Linked DNA regions of Mus musculus: all the other regions are reported to be linked to region 3. The links are microRNA targets in miRTarBase. Many come from high-throughput screens and were not tested one by one. Region 3 holds a microRNA gene; each other region holds the end of a gene's coding sequence. Distances are between the middles of the regions.

The links. The annotated mature microRNA mmu-miR-362-5p reads AAUCCUUGGAACCUAGGUGUGAAU and lies in region 3 at 1,093-1,116, shown strand. An mRNA with a match to its seed (bases 2 to 7 or 8) in the 3' UTR can be bound and repressed. Matches are read on the target gene's strand: a 7mer-m8 pairs with bases 2 to 8, a 7mer-A1 pairs with bases 2 to 7 and ends in A, and an 8mer does both.
Region 1: miRTarBase lists Kcnj5 as a target of mmu-miR-362-5p. Seed matches in the 3' UTR shown: 8mer at 1,079-1,086 and 7mer-A1 at 1,998-2,004.
Region 2: the mRNA of Gpm6b is a reported target of mmu-miR-362-5p. Seed matches in the 3' UTR shown: 7mer-A1 at 695-701.
Region 4: the mRNA of Amfr is a reported target of mmu-miR-362-5p. Seed matches in the 3' UTR shown: 7mer-A1 at 1,488-1,494.
Region 5: miRTarBase lists Alkbh5 as a target of mmu-miR-362-5p. The part of its 3' UTR that is shown has no 7-base or 8-base seed match.
Region 6: miRTarBase lists Ppp1r3c as a target of mmu-miR-362-5p. The part of its 3' UTR that is shown has no 7-base or 8-base seed match.
Region 7: the mRNA of N4bp1 is a reported target of mmu-miR-362-5p. Seed matches in the 3' UTR shown: 7mer-m8 at 2,956-2,962.

Annotation. Positions count from the first base shown.
Region 1 is chr9:32,313,772-32,317,838 of GRCm38, reverse strand. It overlaps Kcnj5 (potassium inwardly-rectifying channel, subfamily J, member 5), which reads left to right. Exons shown (of 4, transcript NM_010605.5): 4 at 1-3,132. The coding sequence ends at 259. Among named protein-coding and RNA genes, the nearest start is that of Kcnj5, 29 kb to the left of the region's middle.
Region 2 is chrX:166,386,764-166,390,830 of GRCm38, forward strand. It overlaps Gpm6b (glycoprotein m6b), which reads left to right. Exons shown (of 8, transcript NM_001177955.1): 8 at 189-2,270. The coding sequence ends at 338. It overlaps Ofd1 (OFD1, centriole and centriolar satellite protein), which reads right to left. Exons shown (of 23, transcript NM_177429.3): 23 at 3,270-4,067. Among named protein-coding and RNA genes, the nearest start is that of Gpm6b, 44 kb to the left of the region's middle.
Region 3 is chrX:7,239,068-7,243,134 of GRCm38, reverse strand. Mir362 (microRNA 362) reads left to right here and starts at 1,089; the gene lies at 1,089-1,153. The region is part of intron 2 of Clcn5 (chloride channel, voltage-sensitive 5); the gene reads left to right. It overlaps Mir501 (microRNA 501), which reads left to right and starts at 1,784; the gene lies at 1,784-1,892.
Region 4 is chr8:93,969,402-93,973,468 of GRCm38, reverse strand. Amfr (autocrine motility factor receptor) reads left to right here. Exons shown (of 14, transcript NM_011787.2): 14 at 155-1,881. The coding sequence ends at 302. Among named protein-coding and RNA genes, the nearest start is that of Amfr, 41 kb to the left of the region's middle.
Region 5 is chr11:60,553,601-60,557,667 of GRCm38, forward strand. It overlaps Alkbh5 (alkB homolog 5, RNA demethylase), which reads left to right. Exons shown (of 4, transcript NM_172943.4): 3 at 114-269; 4 at 638-4,067. The coding sequence ends at 815. Among named protein-coding and RNA genes, the nearest start is that of Alkbh5, 18 kb to the left of the region's middle.
Region 6 is chr19:36,730,031-36,734,097 of GRCm38, forward strand. It overlaps Ppp1r3c (protein phosphatase 1, regulatory subunit 3C), which reads right to left. Exons shown (of 2, transcript NM_016854.2): 2 at 1,701-4,067. The coding sequence ends at 3,385. Among named protein-coding and RNA genes, the nearest start is that of Ppp1r3c, 4.5 kb to the right of the region's middle.
Region 7 is chr8:86,840,906-86,844,965 of GRCm38, forward strand. It overlaps N4bp1 (NEDD4 binding protein 1), which reads right to left. Exons shown (of 7, transcript NM_030563.2): 7 at 234-4,060. The coding sequence ends at 3,782. Among named protein-coding and RNA genes, the nearest start is that of Gm33877, 8.7 kb to the right of the region's middle.

The sequences.
Region 1 (4,067 bases), not on the chromosome of region 3:
ACCAGTTCTCACCTTGGAAAAGGGCTTCTATGAGGTGGACTACAACACTTTCCATGACACCTATGAGACCAACACACCCAGTTGCTGTGCCAAGGAGCTGGCGGAGATGAAGCGGAGCGGTCGGCTCCTCCAGTACCTTCCCAGTCCTCCCTTGCTTGGGGGCTGTGCTGAGGCTGGGAACGAAGCTGAGGCCGAGAAGGATGAAGAGGGTGAGCCCAATGGACTGAGTGTGTCCCAGGCCACCAGGGGCTCAATGTGAAGTCTGTGTGCTACCCAGAGCCTCTTCTTGCCAGACACCGAGGAGCCTGGGAGGCCAGAGAGGCCAATTAGTTGAGCAAGCTTTGTGGGGCCCCAGGAGTATGGAAGCTCTACAGAGAGGAATAGTGTGTCAAGGCCTCACATCTCCTCCTTGGGGCCTCAGAGAAAGTAGCCTTGCCTAGGCCTCCTGACAAGTGCTTTCTAGGCCTCTGTGAGAGCATTAGTTGCCTCCAGAGTGGGGCTCCCAATGAGAGTTCTAGGGTGCCATCTATCCTCTGTCTGATTACTGGAGCCTGTTCACTTTCCTCCCCAATTCCTGGTCTCCTCAGCACAACACCTGAGACCTTCGGATCAAGGGAGGTAATTTTATCCATGGATACTCAGGCCTCCAGCTGGGGAGGCGTTCACAGAGGCCTTCCAGGGGCAATGCCTTTTAGTCTGAGGCCAAAACCCACTAATTAATAGCTTCTTAGCAAGGCCACTTGTTCACCTCTGATACTACTTAGCGTGTGTTTTCCTCATCTGTGTCGAGTAGACACTAACACTATGGCTTACAGGGTAATTGATTTCATTAGAGTGGCCTTAGGACACCAAGTACCTAGGAGCATACACCATGTCGTTCTCACTACTGCCTGACACCCTTAGTCATACTGTGCTCTGTGCTTCAAAGGAGAGCCCCCCAGCAGTTGTACCTTTTGTAAGACTATTTGGCCCAAGAACTTCAAAGAACCTGTGGAGTGGTCCTGGGGAACATATGAATTTCAAAGAGCCAGATGAGCCCTTTGGTACTAACACAGGGATGGCAGACAGGAGAGAGACACAAGGATAATTTTAAAATAAGATGATCTGGAGCCTGTAATCCTAGCGTTTGGCAGGCTGAGGCAGAATTTCGAATCTGAAGCCAGGCCAGTCTACACAGACCGCTCTCAAAAAAGCAAGAGACAAATAACAACCAAGAAAACATCTGCCGCAGTTGTTGCACGGGGGCTCCTTGGAGAAAAGTAGGCTATGAAACACAAGTGACAAGTGCCCATAAAGGCATCTTCAAGCTGAGCAGCCTTAGGCTGCTACTGAGATGCCTCTGGGCCTCCCTTCTGTGGAACAGCTCCAACATGGTGGTGGGACCTAGAGGGCGGGCCCTGAGGACAGGATGAGAGTTCGTGGGTGACTAGGGGGAGAAGAATCAAAGAGTGGAGAAGAGCTTTGGGGTCCACAGCCTCACAGATTTTTCTCTTCCAGTCTAGGTCTGAGGGTCAGGTCAGTGAAGCATTAGGTTGAAAACAATAAGCTGTCCTGGTCTTGGGAATTGGCTTACATGTTTCCTGACACCTCTACCCCAGTGTTTATGGCTCTCAACCAGCCTTTGAAAATAGAAGCACCTTCTTGCCAGGCCCTGGAGAACTTTCTCTGGCATCTATAGGGAGGCAAGAAGCTAAGGCAGCCTAGAGAATGGCTTCCCAACCTCAGGCCTTGTGCCCCTCAGACTGGGTGCCCGGGTCCCTGAGCTCGTAAGGAGATGGGGTCTGTGATGGATTGTTACACTGTGGATCCCTGCACTTGGCATCTGCACGAGTCTAGGCCAGTGGGTCTCAACCTTCCTAATGCTGTGACCCTTTAATCCAGTTCCTCGTGTTGTGATGACCTCACAACATTATAATAATCATAGCATTATTTTTGTTGCTACTTCATAGTTTTAATTTTTCTACTGTTATGAATTGTAATGTAGATATCCAAATTTGAAGGATATCTGATATGCAATCCCTGTGAAAGGGTTATCCAACTCCCAAAACGGTCTCAACCCACAGACCTACAGGTTAAGACTGGTCTAGGCAGAGGTGTGTGTGTGTGTGTGTGTGTGTGTGTGTGTGTTGTGCATGTCTGTGAGTGTGGTATATGTGTGGATGTACGGGGTGGTGTGTATATGTATGTTCGTGTGTGTATATATGGTGTGAGGGTTGGTAAGTAGGTGTGGGATTGGGTGGAGATGGTGTGTATACTTAAGTGTGTGTGTGTGTGTTATATGATGAATATGGTGTTTGTGTACATGCGTGTGGCATGTATGATGTAGCATGTGTATGCTGTGGTGTGTATGTCTTTGTGTGTGATGGGAAAGGGAGTCCACAGTGATGAGGTAGGGGGTTATACATCTTCTATGTGGTGAAACAGGTCTAGTGGAGAATGGAAAATGAGCAGCCATCCCTACTCAGGAAAGAAAATCACCGAGCGGGTCCACAACACCCAATAGGTAAGCTGCAGGAGTCTAAGGATGGAGTCTGCTGATGAGACTAGAGGTCTAGGGTAACAGGAGATGCAGTCATTGTCACAAGAGACAGACACTCAGCCTGGCTTTCTAGACCCCAGGCTTAGGCAGGCAGGATCAGTTCTACTCCTTGGTAGGCCTGTCTTGATCAGAACTAGCTAGTGCCTACAGGTTAAGACCCTCAGTGAGTCAAGTTGGTAAAGATAAGAAATAGCAGGGAATGATGCTCTTATGGCCGGACAGTGGTCTGGCTCCTGTTTCACAATTGCCTTATTTGTATTTCTGAAACATCCCCCACTTGGCCAAGAGAGAACAGTGGTCTGTGTGAGTCAGGGCCACTGGTGTGTCAATGAGAAGCTGTGGAGGCTATCAAAGAAGTGGATGCACTCCTGAAGATACCCGAATGCCAACGCTGATATGTACTGGAGTTAGTAAGATAACAGACCCAATCAGGTTTCTATCGTGGTGACCTAAGTGTGAGGGGACTGCCCTTCCCATCCCAAGGACATCTCCATATCAATGAACAGTTGATGTCACTAAAGTTTTAAAAACTCTTCAAATAATTTTCTGAAAGTTCTTGACCAATAAATTTAAAATATAGGTTTATAAGTCTGATGCTGGCCCATATCTCAATGGATCACTGCTCCTACATATGAGCCATGTTAGTCATGGACTTTACTGTATGACTCAGAGCTCATTCCATCCCTCATGGTCACAAAGAACTGAGGCAGGGCTAGAGAAGAGGCCAACAATAATTCCCAGAGATCTCTGTTCCTGCTGACTTCCTGCCTTGACTGCCATGTCCTTCCTCTCTGGAAAAAATCCCTTGCTCCGTGTGCCAGTAGAAATTCACCCACACTGGAGAAGGCAAGTTCTTACTGGTTCTCTCCTCACTCTCCCCAACCAATCTGACACTTCTGAGGTTCTGCCAACATAACCACGAGACCCTGTTCTCAGGCCTCTCTGCTTCAGACGTGGCTCCCACTGGGCCCCGACATAATCAAGGAACCCATGTGTGCCATTTCTCTTGGCTGCTTTGAGAGCCTGCCTGAAGCAGTCAACACTGATGGAGAAGAGCCCCTGTCTGCCTGGGGAACATGTCCCTGCTTGTCTGTTATCTGTAGCAACTGGGAACCTTCATTCACACCTCTTATCCCATGGCCTGCCTTCCAGCTGGCCCTGGCTCAGTGAATCCTTTGGAGCCAGGAACTTCCCCTGAGGGTGACACAAAGCAAAGATTGCACATCAACTTGTAAGACACCCCGGCCTCTGTCGGGTGGAGCAGTGGTTAGAGAACACTCCTGCATTCTTGGACTTGGTTCTGGTAAAGGTGTCTGGAGATCTCTTTTACCACAGATGGAAATGTCTCAAGCAAACACGATGGGGCCATCTTCCTGCACAAACACCCTTAGGGATCAGCTCCCAGGCTGCAGGCACAGACAGAGCCCTCACAGTGGCTCTGGTCGATTCCCGAGCAGTACTGTAGAGGACAGTCCCTTTTTCCAGCCTTAAGATAATTAGGAAACACCTTTTTCTGATTCCCAGAGAG
Region 2 (4,067 bases), 160 Mb from region 3:
TAACGTTTCTTCAACCTACTATGAAGCAAACTAGTAGAGCATGCTCCGTGTCTGCCAGCTCTGCCAGCAGAAGAGTATTAATAGCGAATAACCCTCGCCCTTCTCCAGCTGATCCGTCTAATGTGACTAGCAGCTCGCTTTGCCTTCTCACATGCTCACTAGCCATCATGCTCACCCTTCTTTTCCAGATCCACTTCCTCATGATACTGTCTTCTAACTGGGCTTACTTAAAGGATGCAAGCAAAATGCAGGCTTACCAGGATATCAAAGCAAAGGAAGAGCAGGAACTGCAAGATATCCAGTCTCGCTCAAAAGAACAACTCAATTCTTACACTTAAAAGTGTTTGCCAGAGCGTGTCAGCCAATGAATTCACAGCTCTGACACATCATCAGACAGCTGCTCTGCAGTACAGATGTGTATCCCACCAAACTAATGTAGACGTACCAACATTTCACTGTCTGTCTCAAACTGCTGGGGTGGATCTCTAGGAAAACCTTCCAGTGGGTAAATCAGTTTCTTTAGAACAAATATTGGAGGTTTCACTTTAGCCATTTTAAAAGGCAACACTTTTGACAGAATGACCGTTCATCCTTTGCAAAGTCGTGGCATGTCCAGTTAACTGCTAGAGCAGTTTTAACACGGGATAGAATCACATCACGTTCCTTACTGGGGACCTATGGCATGCCAGAATCAAAGGATATGACCCTAGATTTACATATGCCACCTGTCTTCAAGTGTTATCAAAATAGAATCAGTGTCAAGTTCATTTTTGATAACTGACCTTTATTAACCTTTGGCTCATCAAAGATAATGTGATTCTTCCAAACTTAAAACTCAGCACCCTCACGGTCTCACACATTCGAATGTTTCCCAAGCCACTGAGAAACCTATCTTCTAGTAATAGGAAAATGAGCTGCAAGTGTGCTAAATGTATCAGTGCAGAAGCTGGATTCTGACCCGAGCTCTGCAAAATGAGCTTCCCAGTTGATCACATCGGAACAAAATGGGACTGAGGATTTGGTGATCACTATTGTTTGGAAATAAATGTCAGCTCTGCCTTAATATTTGCTTTCAATTTCTAATCATTTATATTGTAACCAGAAACCCAAAATTCCTACATAGATTATTTTGTTCCATGAATATCTTTCTTAAGAAGTGTTACCTTGTTAAAGTGACTACCATTCTAAACCATTTTTAAGTGGTCTGGACAGTGAGTTTACAGTTTCATATCAACTATCTAAAACCTAACTGCAAATTGACCACAGACCTCTGACCTTCTACTTTTATAGACTTTAATACATAAGTAATTTAAATTAGGGTTGGTATTTATTTCACTGTTTTCCTATCTAAATCTTAATTTCCTGGAATAATAATGTTTGATATTCAGCAAGAAAACTGCTTGAGTTTAAGCCATTTTCAAAAGAAACTTGCCTTCTAACTCATTGTGTTCCAGAACATTAAGTGACTAATAGGTACTGGGTATTAGTGATGGTAAGTTTTGTGTTCTTCTTTCTGGAATGATCCATATAACTGTGGGGTGCATCAGTGCTTTTCAAAGGGGCTGCATACTATAGGGTTAACTATGTATATTCATGTTAAGAGTTAACTTGTGGTTTGGCTGTTTCCTGGATTTTAAAACATATACATGTGCAGAGATGTATTCAAATGAAAGGAAGCATATCTTTATCAAGATGCTAGTAAAACTGAACATCAACTATAATATTTCATTTGGATTTTTTTTCTTTTGGATAATGCCGAGAAACGCCTAATTGGATTCCTTTTAATTGGGAGACGCTCTCTTCTGTGTAGAACAGTTGTTCCAAGATAGCTTAGTGTTTTGTTTTCCTGTTGCATGACAGAATTATTGTTTCCAGCAGTGGAGGTGCTGTTAAGAGTCCAGTGTTCTAGAAGAGGCGGTGTCTAAAGCCTAATTTTACTTTTCTAATTCTGGTAGCTATTGCCAGGAACTTTTGAAAGTTTTGTTGAAGTAGTCTAATATTTTTTATGTAAAGAGCATTAAATTTTGCTATGTATAAATTTTTGTAACCTAACAGTGAATCAATATTTTCTATCAGTGCCAAGGGCTTCCTGTAGTTCTATTCAAGTGTTACAATAAATATTTGTAGATAATAGTCAATACTTGTGTATGCTTATTTTAAAGATCTATTTAGGTGGAAATAGTTGTGGATGTACTAAAGAATAATGAAATAAAATTATAGCTTCATTCGCTTGCCTTTTTACCATACATAAATCCTATCTTTCTCTGTTCGCGGTATGGTGTCATTTTTTTTAAATAATATACATCATCAAGATTTTACATAGGTAGAGACATATAGTCCATGGAAGACTGCTACTGGTTTCATTTTGCACGTGCACACAAACACAAGCAAAATGTTTTTAGCAAGAGCAAATTGAGAAAATACTGTAGCCCACTGAGCTGTACTTTGTATAAAATGCTACTAGCACTTGAGTGTGAAACGCACAGAATTTTCCCAACTAGTTTCTCCAATAAAAAGCCATCTACCTACAGGATTGACACATACATAGTTTAATCTTGGGCAAAGGAAAAAATGGGGAACTTGAATAAGGGTCTATAAACTGTTGACTTATAAGCCAAAGTCTAGGGGGAAAGGTATATTTGGGGATATAATGAAAGCTAAGTCTAAGTTGATTCTTTAAGCAGCAGCACTAAATTTGTGTGGGGATTTCCTTGTCTAACTTGAAAGAACCCTGTCAGGGTGCCTATGCATTTGCTCTCCATGTGAGGCCGTGCCTTTAGCATTCTGGGCACAGCACCTCTAAATGAGGACTTGCCTCTGGATCATTCCCCTTCACTCACGCACTGCAGGGAAATGAGCAGGAGCTCCAATGTAATGAAGCTTGTCTCACTTAACACCGTCTGCTCAGGCTGCACTGTGTCACTGGATAAGCCTCCTGAATAAATACTAGAGTGCTTTAACACAACCACAAGTAACCTTGACAGTAATTCTACCATCAAACATAGGAACCTCTGGGGGACACAGGTTTTTCCAATTACCTCTGGTTTAAACACACACACACACACACACACACACACACACTTTAAAGGATGAAATGAGCCAGGTGGTGGCACACACCTTTAGTCCCACCACTTGAGCAGCAGAGACAGGCAGATCTCTATAAGTTTGAAGCCAATCTGACCTACAAAGTGAGTTTCAGGACAGCCATGACTGCTAGACCAAGAAACCCTGTCTTGGAGGGTTAAAAAAAAAAAAGAAGTCAGAGTTATAAGTTACCTTTTTATTATATTTTAAAATATTTAAAATATTTAGTAACCTAAATATTTAAAAATCAACAAGTTCACCCATTATCCATTATAAATAAGATTAAAGGATTCTACAGTAAAGATGCTGGCTTACTCCTGCTACAAAAATAATCTTAGACAAGGTAGGGAGTAAAGAATAGAACTTTGGAGTTTTTGTTTCATTTTTACAGTTCTGGAGACTGAGAATCTCAGTAACAAAGTGCTGGCAAGTTCAGTGCCTGGTAAGGGTCAGGCCTTGGTTTGTACAGTGTCAAGTTCTTGGTACTTCTGAAAGGGATGACTGCGCTCTCATTCATTCTATGTAGGAGGGTCTGCTTTCATGGCATCACGCCCCAGAGGCCCACCAGCTAATACCATCACACTAGGGTTCAAACATATGAATACTGGAGAACCTACAAGTTTAACCACACCAGATGCAAAATATTATTTATAGACATTACAATGAAAAGATTTGTGTTCATGTCCAGGGACAAAACTGTGCTGGGAGGATGGCTTCCTGTTTTACACATTATAGCCCAAGTGTGGAGCAGGAGGCACACAGCTTAAACTTAGCAAATGCAAGCCTGGAAGGTGACAAGATAAGTTTTCAAATAGATGTAACTTAAGACAAAGCCAGAGAGAGGAATGTCATTTTAAAACAATGAATACATGCCATGGCTAGAGGACTACATGGGCCAAGTGTGGTGGTGCATGCCTTCAAAGGGAGGCAGAGGCAGGCGAATCTGTGACTTCAAGGCCAGCCAGGGCTTCACAGAGATCTTG
Region 3 (4,067 bases):
TCCTGCATCCTACTCTAGGCTTGCATCTTACCTAATTTTTTTGGTACTCTTTAAAGAGATAGCATTTGTTATTCTCATTTTTTAGAAGTAGTCCATGACCTTGGAGAAAGCAGGTAGATTCTTTAATCCAGTACATGGTGAAGTATAGGTTTGAAACAGGGTTTGTAGATACCAAACTCCACAGTTTCTCTGTCTTATCCATGATGCTGGTAAGGTCCCCAGCATCACCCAGCCCCTTTTAGAAATACAAAATCTTGAGCTCACTAATGAGAAACCTCTGTAAGTTATCTTAGTACCAAGTCCTCCAGGTATCTGAAGTAACTTTAACAAGATGCTGATGTGTGTTAAAGGATGCCAATCTCTACTGCCATCTTGTGAGCTTATGGCCTCTTCTCTCTGTCTCTCTGTCTTTTTTTCTTTCAGTATTTTGTATCTCTGGCTTTATATTTTTATAATCTCAGAACAAAATATGAATGTATATATTTAGACAGGTTTCTCTGTCTCTGTCTGTCTGTCTGTCTGTCTGTCTCTCTGTCTCTGTCTCTCTTTGTCTCTGTGTCTGTCTGTCACTCTGTCTCTCTCTCTCTCTCTCTCTCTCTCTCTCTTTCTGTGTATGTGTGTGGAGGGTGCAGAGGTCAACCTGAGGTGCTTCCCCTTTGGGGACATCTACCCTGTTTTTTGAAACAGTCTCTAATAGGGACTTGGCACTCACCAGTTAGGCCAAGGGATCTAGCTTTCTTTGAGTCCTCACGCTTGGCTCTTTTATGTGGAGGCTGGGAGTTGAACTCAGGTGCCTAGACATACTTAATGTGAAGCTCAAGAACATTGTCTTCTTTCTCATCACAGATAAGCACCTTGTGTCAAAGGTGAGCCCATGCGTTCATTTGCTGTGAGCCTTTTGCCCTGCTTCAGTTCTCTGATCCTTGCTACCTGGGTGAGAGTGTTCTTCAGCAAGGATTCTGAGAGCCAGACCTTTGTGTTTGTAAAGGACAGAGCGCATCTCTCGTTCTCTTTTAGTGTGTTGCACACAAGCATATTGACCACACACAGGAAGGGCAGGTTCCTGAGCCTTCTTGCTTGCTCCCCCTCTCGAATCCTTGGAACCTAGGTGTGAATGCTGCTTCAGTGCAACACACCTGTTCAAGGATTCAAAGAGGCTGAGCCTTGTCTGCGTGTAGAATGGCCCATACTTGCACATCTCACCTGCCACCTTCCCTCCTCCTGGCCACCATTTGATTTTGGTTTTAGCTGTCAGACTTGGTTCTACACATTTTCTAACAGCAAAATGGTCTTTATCATGTTTGGTAGACATGCTTCTATTCTCAGCATGAGCTTTCTTGATTCCCAGTTTGCTAAGTGTCAGATCATGTGATGAGGAGCACACATTAGGTGCTGCTACTCAGGCAACCCGTTTGTTACATCCAGTGATAACCCCTGTTCCACAAAGCTTGAATTGTATAAAGGCATTGGAAAGGAATGGAGTATCCTCCTCCACTGTGCCCTCTTTCAGTATGTATATGCATTCTCAGATCCCAGCCTTCTTGCTACCTTCCAAACATAAATCAGGCCCCCACAAATTCTCAAGTATGATCTGGGAGAGATACCATTTTGTATACGTAGAAGTTTTCTCTGAGAGAGGATGCTCATGGTGGGAAGGGGGCAGATACATATATAAATCAGGGATGTCAAGCTTGGGTATAGGTGGTGATGCTTGGCTGAATCAGGACAAGGAAAATTAAATATTATATACAGAACCACACAAACATGGTACAGGTGCCTGGGCCTTCTGCTCTGCTCATCCTCTCTAATCCTTTGTCCCTGGGTGAAAATGCTATTTGTATGCAATGCACCCGGGCAAGGATTTGGGGAAGGTGAGCCTGATCTGCATGGAGAAGGACAGGAGGTCTGTGCATCATATCTCATCTGTTTGCTGCTTGCATACTTCTTTTATGCCTCCCCCCACCTTCTTTCCTTCTACAAATACAACGGGCATGGTGCATGGGAGAGTAAATGTGACAAATTTGGCCTCTTCCCACCTAGATTTTATAGGTAGAACTTTATTTCCACTTATGACCCTAACAGGTATCAAGAACAAGTGGGGCACATAGTAAACTGTGTATTGACATAAGTGCGCAGCTTTTCATTCTAGTTCTCATACCGACACCTGGAAGAGAAATTCTTCTTTAGTTCAACTCTTGGAGGAATGCACAGGGCAAGAACAGTAAGCCTTCTTGTTGAACCCACATGCCAAGGGCATAGGTGCAGGCTGTGCCTTTCTAGTACTTGCTACTTGGATGAGTGTGCTTTGCGAATGCAATATACCTGGGCAAGGGTTCAGACATTGAGTTATCTTCATGTAGGACCTTTACGCCTCCTTCCACTGTTTCCTGTCTATTTATTCAGTATGGCAGGTACTCAACTAGGGATTTGGTCCACAGGAGTATGAACCACATGTGGTTCAGGGAGCAAATGGTCCAGGGAGAGTGAGCTGTGTCACATCCATTATGCCTGCATGAGTGGACTGTAGACTGGGACTTCATGTACACTGTCCACTTGGATTCTTCCATATTTTAACACAGTCCCATATAAATGCAGTGTATACAGAGGAGAGGATTCACAGACTTGTGCCCACAGAGAGGATTATCTGACCTGATTCATCAGGAACATTAATCCTCAGCACAAGTGCTGTTTTCAATAGTAAGTCCTGTCCAAGGAATCCAAAGGGTGGCACTTCGCCTGCACTTTAAAGGACAGAGCCCCTATATGTCCACACCCCTGTTCCTTTTCCTTCCTTTCACAAATATTCAGGTATGCACTATTTGATACAGCTCTGTTAGTCATAGAGGATGTAGCAGGAAACAAAATGAACAGAGGTGCTACTCTCTTAGGAGACTAATAAACACACTAAGATCCTTGACTATTATAGACTCACCAACTGCTGTTCAAAAGAATGACCTAGGTCTATTGTTCCTTGTTTTCTATTCTGTATGAATGACTCAGTGCAGGGTCTGATAGATGAGATTTCTCAAACTATTCCCCCTCCCATGGCCCTAGATATGCCTAAACACATGGGCCTACGTGGAGAGGAGTCACTCGCTCACAGGAAGAGTGGATATGGAGCCTATTGTGTTGTTCCCTCTCCTCATCCCTTCAGCCCGAAGACCAGTAGACTAAGTGACTTCTTGTCAACTACCATCACTACTCCCATTTGAAGACAGGAGCTTACTGTCTTACTGTGTAGCTCTGTCCCTCAAGCTGATTCTCCTATACCCACCTCCATAGGTCATACTTTTCTACACACATTTGCAAGCTGGCCTGGGCAACATGTGATCCCAAAAGAAAAGTGAATCTCTTTCATGTTAAAAATAGTAGTCTTTATATCATGTATATTTTTTATTCAGATGAGGGAGGTCTAACTAAGTAGCTTAGTCCAGCCTGGAACTTGCTGTCTATTCCAGAGTAGCCCAGATCTCTTGGTTCACCTGCCTCAGGCTCTGGGTGCTGGGATTATAGGTCTGATGTGCCACCGTGTCCAGATGCTTCATGTTCTGAATGGCCATTTACAGTGGTGATTCTCAAGGCAGGATCCCTGAATCAGCAGCATCACCGTCACATGGGAATGCATTCAAAGTGCGGAGTTCCACCCCTGACCTATCAGGTCATAACACAGAGCAGTTTATATTCTCTTTAAGCCTTCCAGTTGATTCTGATGATCACTCAAATCTTATAATCACAGAATCCAGCCAGGTGAGGGGCTAGAGAGGAAAGAGTTCCCTTCTTTCTTATGTATGTTCATGCAGGCTGTCTGGGAGAAGCTCAGCTGGTCTCTCCTGCCTTCTCATTCCCACACTTGATGATGGCATGTGGGCAAATGAATATGCAACAAAGAGAGAGAAACCGTAGCATGATTTCTGTAGGCATGTACCTAATATTATAGACAGACACATAATTGGTGTACAAAACCAAAACCAACTCAAACACTTCCTTGTGTGCATGGATTACACATGAGAGTGGGCCTTGTCATCATGAATCTTCTGCCAGGTGATTTAATTAGCACATGTTGACTG
Region 4 (4,067 bases), not on the chromosome of region 3:
CTGCTGCTGAGCTGCACTGTACCCGAGCCATGGGCAAGGCTCTTCTCATCACAGGATGGGCTTGAGTGACAGCTTTGTGAAGATGCCTGTGGAGAAGGGGAAACTGTCTTCCCGTTTCCCATCTTTCTCTCTCTTGTGGCTTTATTTCTTATAGGCGGTTCTTAAACAAAAGTTCTGAAGATGATGGGGCCTCAGAGAGACTCCTCCCTTCTGAAGGCACATCCTCTGACCCCGTGACCCTGCGCCGAAGGATGCTGGCAGCCGCTGCTGAGCGGAGACTTCAGAGGCAACGGACAACCTAGTGCTTCCTCACCTTCCTCAGCCTCCTGCCCAGCTCTACCTACCGGAAGAGGCCTGTCCCAGTTCTGCCTGCTGTGTGGAGACCTGCGACTGCATTGCTGCTGCATAAAGCATGTGGTCTTTAGTGTGTGGACAGCTGACAAATTTAATCCTTTGTAATACTTTCTTTGTGACATTTCTCTTCCCCTTAGAAACATTGCACATTTTAACTCTAGGCATGGCCTCTTCTGGTGTTGACTGGACTTGTTGGGAGTAGGGGACGAGCAAAAAGAAGTGGGCACTGGGGCGCTCGCCTGCCTGCAGCAGCTAGTTTGAATTTCTGTTTTGATATAAACCACAGCAGATGTTGAGTATTTTAGCACCACAGCTGGAAGGAAGCACGGATCTTGGGGAGGGTGCATAACAGCAGTCAGAAGGTGCGCAGCAGGAGCCTGACCACCACTATGGCAAAGTAGCCTACGATTAAATGCTGTGCTTAGGGAGGAGGCCAGTCCCACAGGCGCCTGGACCTCTAGACCAGCAGGACATGGTGTAGAAAGAACTGGTTTGGTACCTGGAGTAGAAAGAGGAAGCTCAGGGCTGCAGAATGAGGAGGCCCTTTTCTGCCCTTAACATTCAGGACCAATCTGAGCCCAGTCCCCAGCTGGCTTCACTTCCGTCACTCTGGTGCTCTCGCATCACAGAAGCTTGCCCCCATGGCTGCCGCCTCTTCCTTTCCTTTGGTTATGACTTTAATTCCTTGGTCAACCCAATTAGGCTATGCTAAACATATGGGTTTGATCCTTGGAAAAAGGCATGGGGCCTGCCCAGCAAGGGCAGGGGTGTTTGGAGGACACTGCTGAAGAAACACCTTTCGTATCTTTGTCCCTGGAGCCCTTGAGTTCCCTGCTTTTGTTCCTGTGGGTCTCATTAAACGGAAACAGAGGATGTTGAATAATCCACATGCCTCAAGCAGACTCGGTCCCAGATCGGCTCAAATTCTCCACGTATTTAAGGATTTGAAACATGCAATCATAGGATACATAGTTTTATGTCCCATTGGATTAAGGTTTTTTTTTTTTAATGTTTCAAAACATAGTTTTATGGTAGTCCTTTTGGGAAAAATCCAGTATTATCTAAAATTATTGGCAAAGTTAAATGTATTTTACATACCTGGAAGTTTTTAGACTGTTGATAAGTAACTGAGAAAGGATAACAGGCGCCTAGGTGAAGATAATTTATTTCAATAAATCTTTCAAAAGCCTTACCTTGAACTGCTGTTAGTTAAATTCCTGTGGGTTTTTGTTTTGTTTTACTTTGTTTTGCTGAGAGCGTAGCAATTTGTTTTTATTGTAAAGCAACAATAATAAAAAGGAAAATCTCTTGTAGTGTGGTGTGGGGGCAGTGGAGTCCCACGCTGCTCTGTGTGTGCCGTTTGGGTTGGGGTTTATAATGCTGTTCAACTGGGAGGGGCGTGGTTTATAATGCTGTTCAACTGGGAGGGCGTGGTCGCTCCTGTGTTTTACTTGGAGGAGGAAGCACTGAGCTTGTCTTTGACACCTTTCCAGGCTGCACATGAAAATAAAGGGGAAGCTAAGTCCACTGTTCTTCCATTTCAGATGTCGGAAGGTGGGAACCGCTTGCAGTCCGTTTCGGAGGGTCTACAACATTGTAGAATATTGAACAGATGTAAATGGAAGTGCCTTAACATGGCTTAAGATGTCCAAGGAGAGACGCCCCAAGTCTATGCTTGGTTTGCTCCCTCTGTAGATGGGTTGGGTCAAAGGGAAGCTGGTGATGAAGTAATCTGAAGAGTCAAGGGTTCTGGGTGCAGTAGAAGGCTTCATCATTTCTTGGGGACACTGGACAAGTGCTAAGTGAAGGCACCAGCTCCAAGAGGCTTCTGGGTCATTTTGGAACTATTCTGTAGTCCTCTTTTCCTTATTGGCCATATTTAATTTTTGTCTTCTTGGATCCTTAATTTTTTCTTTAAGCTTTGGCACTTTTATGTAGCAGAGAGGGTGACCGACTGCAGATTTACACTAGGGTTGGGTTGACTTTTGGGTGCTCAGGTAGCCTCTGACCTTCCCTAGAGCGGTGCAGACAGTGCTCGTCAGTTTGCAGCCAGCAGTCCTGACCCTTCCCTGAGAGCTCTTTGGTAGCTGGGAACACACAAGTAGGCTTGTTAAGGAGTTGTGTCTGTCTGCTTTAGAAGGCTCTCTGTCCTACCTGAAGATCCATTCCCCATGTCTGCTTTCAATACGTTTGGAGGTGGTTCTCACCCTGGCTGTACATGGAGTGTGTGTGTGTTTATAAATAATGTATAGAGTCTGCCCCTGTGCTGCTTGTACTAAACCTTCCTCTCCCTAGCCTTCCCAAAAACTGATTTCTTACCTTTCCCTTAAGAAAGAAGGCCATGCTAGGATGTAACCTGCTGGGTACTGCCTTGCCTAACATGCACAGTGTCCGGGACTCTATGTTTAGCACTGGGGGAAAGAGAAGATTAAGGTTTCAAACAAAATTGGCTTTTATCTCTCTGTAAAAACCACTTATAGACTGGTAAGTTGGGAAAGAACTTGCTAGAACTCACTTTGAGAGAAATCCAGACTGGTCTGGTCGTGTTCACCTTTGGCCTGCCGTTGGGATCTTGGTTTGTCGTCTGATATAACAGTCAAGGTGTAGATTGGTTGGAGGTTGAGTGGTTCCCTCTGTATTCAGCAAGTGAAGGCAGTTGGTAAGGAAGCCACTGGAAAAGAGGTGTGGCTTGGTGGAAGAGCCTTCTGGGTGTGCCAGCATTTACCAGGTACCCATGACAGCTGGGGACAGGACCATTAGACTTGGTCTGAAACAGTTTTGTGTCTACACCTTCACACATACACCATGCTGGGTTCAAATGACCAAAGGCTATGACATGTGTCTTCTGAGCTAAGAATTTCCACGTGGGGTGCTGTTGGGATAGGATTTCATTAATAGACCTTGTAAGGTTTCCCCATTACACTGATACAGAACATGCCCTTAGCTGCTTGCCTAATGATTGGCCTGTGGTGTGAGGCATTTTGGTAGGCCCAGTCGCAATCCATTTGCTAGTTCTTATGCAAAGCCACATAGTTTGAGAGGTCATAGAGAGATCACTGGCTGAAAAGCTCAGACTCTGAGAGCCAAGCTGTTTTGTCTTGCTTCCCATGTGCCTCACCTGCTGAGACCCTTGGACCTAGCAGCAGTGGGACAAGCAAAGCCAAGGAGAAGCCTTCAGGAGAGTCTTTGGGCTGAGCTTGTCCTTTGGCATCACAGTGGGTGTGCAGAAGGCTGGGGCGGTTTGAGCTCCTTGGAAGCACCTGTTTTCCTCTTGGAGAGAAAGCCCTGGCCATGGAAGACGGGAGGGGCGGCCGGGCTTGTTTCTCCCTGTTTCCTGCCCCAGTCTCAGGTCACTGGGAACCATAAAACCAGATGTGCTGGAGGAGTTGCAGCCAAAAGAAGATGCCCATCTTCCTGCTCTCATTCCTGTTTGTGTATGCGTGTGTGTGTGTGTGTGTGTGTGTGTATAAATGTGCCTGCAAGAGCACACACATGCACACATGAGAGACAGGAGAGAGGGGGCTGAGGGGAAAGAGGAAAGACAGTTTCCTCAATTACTGTGCTACTGAACTGTCTCCCCTCAGTGACAAAATGTTGAGGGACCTAGACAATCCTGTGGAGAAATTCCTGACCCACCACCCTCCCAGGGTATGTGGCCAATTGTCTCCTGTCAGATTGAAGCCCACCCCAGGGACGATCGTCTGGAAGGCAGA
Region 5 (4,067 bases), not on the chromosome of region 3:
AACCAAAACACAGAATACAGACTGCTGGTCTTCACTGGAGACAGATCTGTCCTGATAGGGTTTATGCCTTTACAAGATGCCCTTTTGAGACTCCATGTGTGTTTCCTTTGCAGGACAAGATTAGATGCACCGCGATTGGAAACAAAATCCCTGAGCAGCTCCACATTGCCACCCAGCTATGCTTCAGATCGCCTGTCAGGAAACACCAGAGACCCTGCGCTGAAACCCAAAAGGTCCCACCGCAAGGCAGACCCTGATGCTGCCCACAGGTACTTAAACCCACACAGAAGCCAGCAGTGCAGCTGAGTAGGAGAGTGGGGAAGTAGGGGTGTATGGCAAAAGCCTGCAAGACTTTGAATCTGAGGTAAGGGAAGCCCAGCACACCTGACACAGGCCTGGGCACCAAACTCAGAATTAAGCAGACTCCATAAGGTGTCTTTAAGAGACAGCCCAAGACAGGGACTGGCCCCTGTCACTTAGTGGGCAGGCCCCACTGTTATCAGTGCATCTTGATTGAGATCTACTGAGTCAAGCAGCCCAATTCAAGGATGGGGCTTCTGAAGTCCCCTTTAGTGACTGTAAGACTAGAACCCTCCTTCTGGCTTCTCAAGTAACAGCTTGTCCCTCTTGTTTGCAGGCCCCGGATCCTGGAAATGGACAAAGAAGAAAACCGGCGGTCTGTGCTCCTGCCCACACACCGGCGGAGGGGGAGTTTTAGCTCTGAGAACTATTGGCGCAAATCCTATGAGTCCTCGGAAGATTGCCCAGAGGCAGCCAGCAGCCCCACCCGCAAGGTGAAGATGAGGAGACACTGAGGCTCTGTGCCCTCTTGGGACTCTGGCTAATCCTGATGTAGCTACCCCATCTTCTGTTCCGTTTGAGTGTTTTTTTTCTTTGTTATTTTGGTCCTATATACGTTTTCCTTGCTTTGTTGACCATTAAGGCTAAAGAGCGAATTGGTAAAAGACCTGGGTTCTTTTGTTCTTGGCTTTCCTCCTTGATGGAAAAAGCTGTTGGCTTCTGTAGAGAATTGTTCACACCAGAGTAGCCAGTAGAGACAATGGGGACAGCTGTCTTCAAGTGGAAGTTTATTGAAACACACAAAATGTTTTGGTTATGAAATTCTAGTTTGGGCTTTAAAATGTAAATCTTTGTAGTGTTTTAAACAAAAACTATTCTTTTGCCAGCCTTTTCTTCCACTGATGCTCATGCTTGGATGAGGTCTCTTGGAGCCATACAGGTCCTGCATTGGGTCTGCTGTGCCCATACATCTCACCTGCTGTCCAGGCTCTGGAATCTCATGCAAATACCCTGTTCCCCACTGTTCAAGTTTGCTGCGTATGGGGCTTAAACAGTGCCATCCCCCCGCCATCCCATTTCTGAGTCCCCAGGTTTTCTGCATGCCCTCTGGCTTGCTCTGCCCACCAATCCTGGATGGTCAAGGAACTAGCACAATGGTTCTGACCTCTTTTGCTAAGAGCATGCCTGTTTGCTGGGTTGCTCCTGTTAGGCATATGTGTGTGATTGTATGGAACTGTTAGACTTGCTGCAGTGGGTCATTTGTAGGAATTGTTTCTAGCTAGAGGAACTGATTGGCTTCCAATCTAGCATTTGGGTTATGGGAACTTGGGGTGTGTGGTAGGGCTTCATTTCTTTTGTTCTGAGGTGTTTCTCCTCCCTTTAGTCTCTTTCTCCTCATTTGACCATCTTGGGCCTCTTTTCCCATATCATCTCCCTAAGAAGATGTGCCTGCTCTGTCCACATATAGCATATATCCAAGGCCAGAAGTCAGACCTGCATATTGGATTAATACTTTCTCAGTCTTGGGGCCGGGCCTGGGGGCTGGGAAAGGAACTTCTAAAAATAATAGAAAAAAAAATACAAAGGTAAAGTCTTTGAGAGTTTCTGCCTATTTAGATCCTGGAAGGTGGGGTTCATTAGGATTGACTTTGGCAGCCAGGCCAGGACTGAGCCTGCTGAAAACAGAGGCCTTCTAAGCAGCCATGCCACCACCACTCTAAGTACACAAAGGTCTGGCTCTCGGGCCTCAGTGGCTGCAGAGGTGTGGGAGCACCCAGTCATCAGGAAGTCTCTTTGGGGTCAGATCCTTTGCCAGTGTGGAGCCCTCAAGTTGAGACTGCATAACTAAAGCAGTCACAGATCTTCTGTGGTTTGGGGTTTTTGTTTTGTTTTGTTTTCTTGTTTTTTACTGCTCTTTTCCAAAAAATGATTTGTAGTTGTGTGTGCAGCACTTTGCCCTAATATGTGTGTGCTCTACAATAAAAACCAAATCTAATATATTTTGAAACAGTTGTCTGATGCTGTGGTGAGAGAAAGCCTGACTTTGGTTTTTCCCTTAATTTATTTTCTTGACCTTCCAACTGGATTTGGAGAAAGCTAATTTATTGCCCACCAGTCCTCTGAAGATTGGTCACTGACACCCCTTGATTGATGGCTAAAGGTGGACTTGTGTTTGCCCACTGCCCTCTCCCCTTCAAGGAGGGTGGCCAGGGATACACCTCATGGAATTCTAGAAGATACAGTCTCTCCCTGGCTTGGTAGAGAAGCTGCAGGCCAGTACAAACACAGGTGGAGCTGGAGCAGGGACAGAGGAGCTCAGGTAGAGGACGTGGCCATTCTTGTACTCAGCAGCTAGGCTCTTGGCCTCCCTGGGTGTAGAACATTGGTAGATAAAGCAGGTAGGATAGGATGAGATTGGGACTCAGTGGGCTCCTCCAGTCCACTGGGGTCCCTAATGTGGATCCCAGGGTATTGCCAACTGTCAGCAGCTCTCCAGCTCTGCTCCAGTGATCTGAGCCAATTTGCTCAAATTGCCACTGTGAATCTTGGTCAAGCCATTTCATTGCCCATAGAATGACTGGCCAACAGTTTGAAAAGCAGTGGTAGGTCTAGAAGGGTCAGGGCCTCTGTATGAACTGTGCAGTGGACTGGGATGACACTAGAACTGAGAGGAAGCACCAAATGTCATCCCAGCTGTGATGTTGCAGAAGGGCAGATCCCAATCCATGCTTGGGTGGCTCTTCCTAGGGACAAGGGATGGAAGAGATTTTGATACCAGTGATCTAGGCTTCAGTCTGTCCTGGGATAGTGCCCCCAGTCCTTATGAAGTAATAGCCTTAAGCAAGTCTCTCAGAGTCCCACACCTGACTCTGAATCTTTCTTGTTCTAGCCATGGCACTGGGCCTAGAGCTTTGTTTGGCCCCTGACTCAGTCTTCATGTTTATAAAGTAGTTTTCTAACAGCAACTGGATGTACCAGCCCTACCCACCTAAGATCTCATTCCATTCCTTTAACCTTGTTGTGTGAAGAGTGTTCTGTAGGCCAGGCTCAGGATGGGAAACAGACCTGTATATGACATGCTTACATGCATGTAAAGGTGTTCTATAATGTATAGGAAGGCAGTAGAGCCCATTAACTGTAAGTGTAAATAACATGTACAGTGTGCTTGTAAATCTCTGTAGTTAGTTGTTGCCCACAGAACATTTTAATTGGCTTTCTGTTTAAGTGTGGAATTCATTATCTACCTGTGGTTATAATTCACACACCATGTGAGGGAGATGCATTTTACCAGTTTCTCTTAGTTTTCTATGGCTGCCAAAACATTACCACAAACTTGAGAGCTTAAAGCAAAAGAAATTTGCTAGGTATGGTGGTGCGTGCCTCTAATTCCAGCACAGGCTGAGGCAGAAGGATCAAAAGTTTAAGGCCTGCCTGGGCCTTGTCTCAAAAAGCAAAGCAGCCAGGCATGGTGCTTGTCTGTAATGCCAGCAGGAGTGTCGCAGGTTTGAGGCCAGTTTAGTCTACATAGGGAGCTTGAGGACAGCCTAGGCTACATTGTGAGACCCTGTCTCAACAACAAAGATATAGACTGTTTTGTGCTCTCCTTAAGACTTTGGTAGGAAGCCTATTCCTGCCTCTTGCGGCTTGGTATGGCTCTAACCACTCTAGTTGCAAGTACTCTAGATTCATAGTCACATGGCCTCTTTTTGTATGCTACATTTCAGTGCCTCTCTGCACCCCACCGTGTGTGTGTGTGTGTGTGTGTG
Region 6 (4,067 bases), not on the chromosome of region 3:
CTGCAGTTGATATCCTCTGGCTAAAAGAAAAGTCAGTTTTTCCCAATGAAGTGTCAACGTGTGTATTAACCACACTCCAGGGCAGGCCCATGCCCAAGAATAGAACCAACTCATAACAACACAATGGTACTTCTTTGTAGACTTTCTGTTTCATCTTGCTTTGCTTGGGCTTTTTTTTTTTTTTTTTTTTTTTGTCTTATGGGTCTTTCACTTGTTTATTTTGATTTCCATTTTGTGTGGGAGAGGTATTGCTTGCTTGCTTGCTTGCTTTTTTTGGTCTGACTTTTTTTTAAAATTGGATATTTTCTTTAGTTACATTTCAAATGTTTTCCCTTTTCCAGGTCTCCCCTTCGGAAACCCCCTATCCCATCCCCCCCTCTCCTGCCTCTATGAGGGTGCTCCCCCACCCACCCACCCGCTCCTGTCTTCCTGCCCTGGCATTCCCCTACACTGGGGCATTGAACACCCTCAGGTCCAAGGGCCTCTCCTCCCACTGATGTCCAACAAGGCCATCCTCTGCCACATATGCGGCCAACACCATGGGTCCCTCCCTGTGTACTCTTTGATTGGTGGTCCAGTCCCCAGGAGCTCTGGGGGAGGGGGGTCTGGCCTGTTGCCACTGTTGCTCCCTCTGTAGGGCTGCAAAACCCCTCAGCTCCTTCAGTCCCTTCTCCAACTCCTCTATCTGGGACCCCATGCTCAGTCCAATAGGTATTTCTTTCTTTCTTGTTTGTTTTATAAAGAGAGATTCTTAAATATATATATATTTAATTGACTAGGTAGGGAGGATCTGGGAGAAACTCATGGAGGGAAAAATATGATCAGAGTATATAAATTTTTTTCAATAAAAGTTTTTAAGATACAGTGTGAAACATATGTAGCAGATGTGCAGCTCAGTCTCCATGTGGGTCCCCCAACAACTGGAATGGAGGCTCTCTCTAAAGCTGTAGTCTTCACTGTGGTATCCATTCCCCAACAGGGCTGCCCTGTCTGGCCTCAATGAGAGAGGATGTGCTAACCTGACAGACACTTGATAGGACATGGTGAGGGAGGGACTCTGTGAGGGAAGGACGGAGAGGTGGAGCAGCATTTGGGATGTAAATAAATAAATAAATTTTAATGATGATGATGCAGTGTGAAGACATTTATGGAAATTTTAGGCAAAACTGGAAGAGCGGCTTAGGTTCATGGACCTGTTTGTTGACTGACCCTAAAAAGTTGTGCTTCCCCTTCAGCCCAAAAGTAATACCCATCGGCCCTTCCTGGGATTTCTCTGCAGTTCCAAGCTTTGCCCCTCAGAAAGATACTAGAGCTCAAAACGTAAGAGCTATTGCACACCTCCTGCATTATCTCCCCCCAACCCCCCAAGTGTGTGAGTGACAGGTAGCACCCAGGCTAAGCCTGGCCCGGCAGAAAGCATGTGAGAGAAGGAGGAGCCATAGACAGACACAGTTACAGCAGCTCAGCTTACTGCCTCTGGACCCAAGCCCCGGCTGTCAGCTGTCCACCGTCCGCCACGAGACCTGAGGTCACGTGCCGCGGTCACGTTCGAGTCTGAGGCAGGTGAATGTGTGCAGGTTGAGCCACCTCCTGCTCCAAACCAGCTTGCTTGGTTGTTGCTAGGCAAAACAGGAGAACTTCAGTTGCTCTATTTCTGATCTAACCAGTTATGGTTTGGGGGGAAAGAAAACATTCTCGGGTCTTTTACCAAGCACATTTATTCTAAAAGTGAGAGGCTCATAGGGACAATGTAGGTATTTACAGCAGAGAACTTATGGATGCTAGCCAAACCTCAAATACCATCACAGGGGAGGTATCCCAATAGTGTTTTTCCAGCATGGCAGATCACATACATTACAATCCACTGCACTTTCCCAACTCACCTCAAAGTACATGCACACCGGACAATCAACCCAGGACACCTGTCCTCAAGATCCCACAAAGTGGATTTATGCGCACGCAAAAACAGTTCACATTCAAAATAATTCATATCTACACTTTTTAAAAGCATTTTGACTAGAAATTAAAACAGCAAGACAAAATTAGGCACGAGATAGACCGATACTTTCATGTGCAAGGTCCTGGATTCTTGCATTGAGACTCTGGTGTCAGTCCCCACTTCAAATGTCACATTGAAAAAGTGTGGCAGAAAGATGAGTCACCTTCAATATGAAGGACGTGAGTTGTGTACACTGATGGCCCTCCTGATGATTTCAGAAGGACACCAGTGAATAGACCTTCAAATAAGGTCCTAAACATTCATGAGTTATTAGATGAGCATTCAGGTAACTGGTTTAAACAGCTACAGTGTTGTGGTTTAATGGAGGCACTGAAAGAGCTCTCTTTGACACGATGTGGAGTCCCTACATGCTGCTAGTCACTGGTGACAACATGCCTGATGTCAGGCAGCATTCTGTAGCAAGAACCCAAGAGTGATGCCTTCATCACAAAGCCGCTTATCCAATTAAGAATGCAAAGCCAGATGTGCTTCAACACTCTCTAAAACATGGTTCCTGGTAGACCATGTTTAAACTGAAAGGATTCACTTGAGATCTTTTGATATCATCATTTCCTTGAGACAGGGACTTGACTAGCCCAAGCTAGCCTCCAACTTTCTGTGTGCCAAGGATGACCTTGGATTTCTAATCCTCCTGCCTCTGCCTTCCCTATAACATACTGGGATTAGAGGCATGTGCTGCCACCCCCAGCTGTATGATGCTAGACCTGGAACCCAGGTCTTCATGCATGCGAGGCAAGCACACTACCAACTGAGCTACATCTCTAGCCCTCAAGATCTTGATTCTTCAGTTCATCTTCTCCCCCAGTACCATCCAACATCCTTTTATTTTCCTATACAAGGATGCATAGAATGGATTTCTTTCCCATCTTTGAGCTATTTCCTCAGGAGAAGCCTGCAGAACCCATTCTGAAACACAAGATAACTTTATGTGTTCCCACCAATGGCTTAATATCCACTTAACCATGGCTCCTCCGCTGACTCGAGCCCTCGGCATATACATTTCACATTCCTCACACCCTTACCACAGCGTTCCATCACCATCAACAGTCCTCAAACCTTTCCTTGGTCAAAGTGAAAGCTGGTGAACTGAGAGGGAAATGATGCACCTCCCAAAAAAAGGTGTCGCTTGTATAAAACTAGTTCCCAGGCTGTCCTTGATCCTTCAGAACAAAGCTGGTGGCATCACCCTCAAAAACCCCCAACAATGAATTCTCAAGTAGCTATAGCTTCTATAGCCAGGCCCCAACAGCTCATACCTAAATCTACTGATAGAAAGTAACTACGACTTCCTAATATTGAGCAATACAGATCTAGAATTGCATGAGGATTATGATCAGACAAGGGCAGTGTGTAGATTGCCTAACTCATCGATAGGAGGTCAAGTTCTCCACTCTCCCCCAGCTCTGCCACTCTGGGAAGAGGCCGCTAGCAAGCCTTGGACTGCCAAAGACTGTGGGCTCTATCTCAGTCTTAGGGGGCCCCTGTTGGAATGCACAGTCTTTGGGTGCCACCTGAGTCTGCACTCCGTCAGGTTTCCATTGCACATGGACAATTCTGTAATTCTGACCCTCATTGTTGTCCCAGAAGATCCTCCCATTAGCGTGATAAGAAATGCAGAACTCAATTTTCTCCTCAGTTGGAATGACACGGGGCAAGTCGATGGCAAAGGAGAAGGTGTCGCTGTCTGAGCTGCTGTAAACATTCTTCATGTAGACACAGTCCACATCTGTGTAGGTTTTCCAGGTGTCAAAGGTGATCCGGACCTGAACCTTCTTCTCAAAGCTCACATTCTTCACTTTCACTGTCCCGGTCACCGTCCGATCTTGCAAAGAGCAGTTCTCGAGGCAGACAAAGTTCTTCTGAAAGCGGTCCCGGAAACTTAAGTAGTCGGTTGAGGGCTGGGGAAAATCAAAAACCAAATTTTTCTCCTCGTGAAGTTTTAAGCTGGAGGAGATATCGTTAAGGTCCAAGAGATCAAACTGCAGGTCCCACGCTGGTTCTTCTGGAAGGTCGGAGAAGACATGGATAGCAGTGAGTGACAGCCCCT
Region 7 (4,060 bases), not on the chromosome of region 3:
CTGCTCGGGATGGTTCCATCTGGTCAGGATTCCAGGGCTAGGCAACTCTGTCCAGGATGGTATGTGCTGAATTCCTCCCACCCCCACCTCCAAAGGGGGACAGATCGAGCCAGGCAATTGGACCCACCCCCAAATTGAACAAAGGTGGGTCCCGTCTCTGAACACGATCACCATAGATCCTCCAGGGACCTCTTGCCAAAGCCGCAGTCAAGAAAGCACCACCCTCCAGCTCTCACTTGAACAGACATTTATTGAGCACCTACCAAGTGCAAGGCACTTTTAGGTGCCACAAGAGATACAGAGTGACCATATGGTCCCTGCCCACGAGGAGCTCACAGTCTAGAGGGAGGCAACACAGTACACAGTTGGCTGCAGCTACACCGGCCAGAGTGGTAAGAGCCAGAAGCAAGACACCAAATTGCCATGGGGCCACAGAATAGCATAGAGCTGCTTCTGCTCTGAACACAAAGAGAACTCAGGGCTGGGCCTTTGAGGAGGCAGGCTGTAGGGAAGAAGGGCATGTCTATGAGAGGAAGAAACATGAACAGGGCCTATGGGGAACCTAGATCTGGGTGGCTGGAGTAAGGATCATGGCAAGAGAAAGCAGACAGTCAAGTGCGGCCATGGGGCAGCAGCCGCGGACACATGGCTCAGAGGGTAGGAACGTGATGCTCTGGTCGAAGATCACAGAGGAAGAGGATGATGCAAAATGGCCCTCTAGATGAACTTGGAGTCCCCTGGAATTAGGGAGAGGGAAGAGCTGTAAGGTAGCCAATGAGGGAGGGAACGGTGTCACGGAGGATTGTGGGAACAGGTGGTAGGCAGTAGCAAGCCAAGGGCCAAGAAGGATTTAAGGGACCTCAGAGTTAGGTGAGAGATGGCAGGATGCAGGCTGAGGTTCTGGGAGCCAAGATCCCACAGGGTTAGTGAGAGGACTGGTGTCACAGAGTGGAGGGTAGTCAGGAGAGTGGCGACTCCTAAGGAAGTCCAGTTCCAGACCACCTACCAGGGCCCTGCACTCAAGGCGTGTGGCAGTGACAAGCCACCAGCTTTCCTCTAAAGCACTGAGTCCATCCCTCAGGGCGGTGACAGATTGACAGCCTGCCTTTTAGCAAGGGTAGCAAGGGTTGCCCTTTTCTCTGTAAGCCCAAGGGGTGGTTCACCTTGAGAGCCACCTGCTGAGAAACTGAATTAAGGCTAGGCCTTCAAGAAGAAAGGAATGGAGCGCTTCAAGAAGGAAAACAGAGAAAGGGAGGCCAATGGCTTTGCTGTCTGTAGCTACTCCATTAATGATGAAATGGCAACCAGTGATTTCCCAGGCTACTCCCATGTGGTGGGCAGAAGCCAAGTTTCCAAATCTGGGAGGGGAAAGTGGGAAGCCAGAGAGAAGCATTAGCAACAGAACGAAGGGTGTTTTAACTAAAGGGATCAGAGGAACCAAGTAACGATTCGGGCGAACAGTGCAACTGATGGACCCAGCTGAGGTGGCTCAGAATGCTGAGGAGGGACAGCCCTGGAGAGGTATGGGGAGCAGGCAAGGGCCTGGGTGAGCCTGGTGCAGAGGGCCTGCAGTAGATGCCCCTCCCAGGGGGAGGGCTAGGTACTTGGGACTGGCAAGGAGAGGTGGAGCTCTCTTTCATGCCTAACATGTCCTAGAAATACAGCTGAGCCTGTCAACCACACTGGACCAGGACACACACACACACACACACACACACACACACACACACACACACACACACGACACCTTGTCCAATGACCAAAGGTATCAGCCTTAGCTGCACTGGCCGCCTCAACCAAATGCCAGGATACACAGGAGGCAGAGGCACTCCACACAGGGAGGAATTCCAAGACGCTCCCAAGTTCACTGAGGAGGCACTGGAGGGATGGAGGTCAAGCATCTACAAGCACCTAGCAGCAACAGAGCTTTGGATGAGGCAAAGAAGCAAGTTGTGAGCTTTCTTCAGTGGCTGGATAACTGGGCTGTAAATGTTATACCTAAATGTGACAGATTTCACAAAGAATCTAGAATTATATTTCACATTATAATCTACAAAGTAATTAATGCCTTTTGGTTTCCTCCAGCTTTTTCCTCCCTCCTATATGGGGCAAGGGGAAATGGGCAGGTATCTCTCAGAAACAATACTAAGAACACAGAGGCACACAACTCAAAGATCAGGCTAGCCGAAGGGCCTTTGAGAGCCTGTGCTCCTCAGGCCAGCATCAGGCTGAGGCAGCTATGGAGTACTCCCGGCTCTCCTGGTTCCCAGCAGTGCTGGGCTGGGATTGACCACACCAGGAAGCCCTGGAGACAGCTCCACCTTGGCACCTTTGCTGTGCTCCCAAGCTGAGGCACTGGGTGGGGGACTGTGGTGGGTCAACTCCTGGGGCTGGCCAGAAGTCTCTGTTCTGTACTCACACAGCCTGCAGGTCTGAAACCCCCTAGGGACAGATGACAAACAGCTTCCCAGCAGGCTGGATCATCAACAAATTCAGGAGAGATCACGTAAGTATGGCCACCTAGAAGGCTCTGTTCATCTCCTGATGGGTGCAGGGACCAAATGAACCAAGACACGGCATGGTGGCAGCATTCTGTGATCTACACAGTCCCTGCACTACGGATAACAAACCAGCACCAAGTCCACGGTTACCTGCGGGACCGGGAGAACAACAATCCACAGGGCAGTGAATTTAACCACAAGGGCCTGGAGACTGCATGGATGGAGAACACAAAGCCCTTTGAAGGTCCAGGTGAGAGCCAAGACACTAAGAATGACCAGGAGGGGGTTCACAGACACAGACTTCAAGCTACACCGAGAAGAGACAATACTGAGATAACTGGTTCTGAAAGACTCAGGAATTGCTGCTAAGAAACCTCTAAGTAGACAAAAGAAGGGAAATGCAGGGGCTTTGAGGCCCTTCTGAAAGGACTAATGCTATTTATTGGCTTGGGTCATCCTTGAGAATAGAAAACTTTTTGGCAAAGCTGTACAAACGCCACATGGGGGGGGGGGGGTCTCCTCACCAGAGGCTTCAGTGCCTACCTTGTCTTCTGAGGCTAAGGTAGCTGTGGAGCCAGGGTGGGAGCATGGCGGCCATGGCTGGTGAGTGCACTACGGAGCTACGCCAGTCAGGGAGCATGCTGGGGCTGTACGTCCTCTAAGACTTCCCACCTGCTCCTCAGTCTGACTTTGTCTGGCCACTGGTGACAGCCCGGGTGTCAGATGCCATCTAGTGGCTCCACTTCTTCACTCTCATAATGGCTCGCTGAGAAGGCCCCACAAGAGCAGAGCAGGCCCACTCTAGGGATGAAGGCAGGGGAGCACACGCCATGTTTAGTGAACAGGACAAATTACCTCAAGAAAATAGACTTTAAGAAGTCTTGCTTTCCTTAAGGAAGCAACTCCTTTTTTTTTCTTAATTTTTTTTTAAAATTTTATTTAGAAAGGCTAACCATATTTATTTGTCATTTTTTCTTCAGCTTTAAGGAAAATAGTTTAAAAAACATAAAACTGTAAATACACTCAAGAGTAACTGCTATTAAACAGTTCTGAACAGGCAGAAAGAGTACTTTCCTTTTACAGAAAACGTTAAGTCTGTAATAGCAGCATAATTTATATATAGAAAAAAGCTGGCTTTGAAACCCCAGACTTTTGTATACATAAAACATTTCCCTCCTTTTTCTATACAACACAGCAATGCTTTCCGGGAAGGCTTCTTCACGTTATGGTCCATCCCACGGTTGGCAGTTCCCCAGCATCAGTGGGCTCCAGCCCAGCCGTCAGTCCAACACCAGGGCCGACAGGGCATTCAGGTCTTTCATGTACGGATGAGCTGCCAGGATCTGGTCGATCTTCAGCTTTTGCTCAGAGTCAGGGAAGATCTTTAGCAGCGCCTCCCTCAGCTCGCTGGTCTCTGCAGAAGATCTCTGTGCTGGCAGGGGTGGGTTCTGCTGCATACTGGGAAGGGTGGCCAGAGCTGTGAAGTGGGACTGCTGGGGAAGCCAAGGGCTTGAAGAGGTCTGGATCCGGGGTGGAGGCTGGTGGCTGTTGTTGGCTAC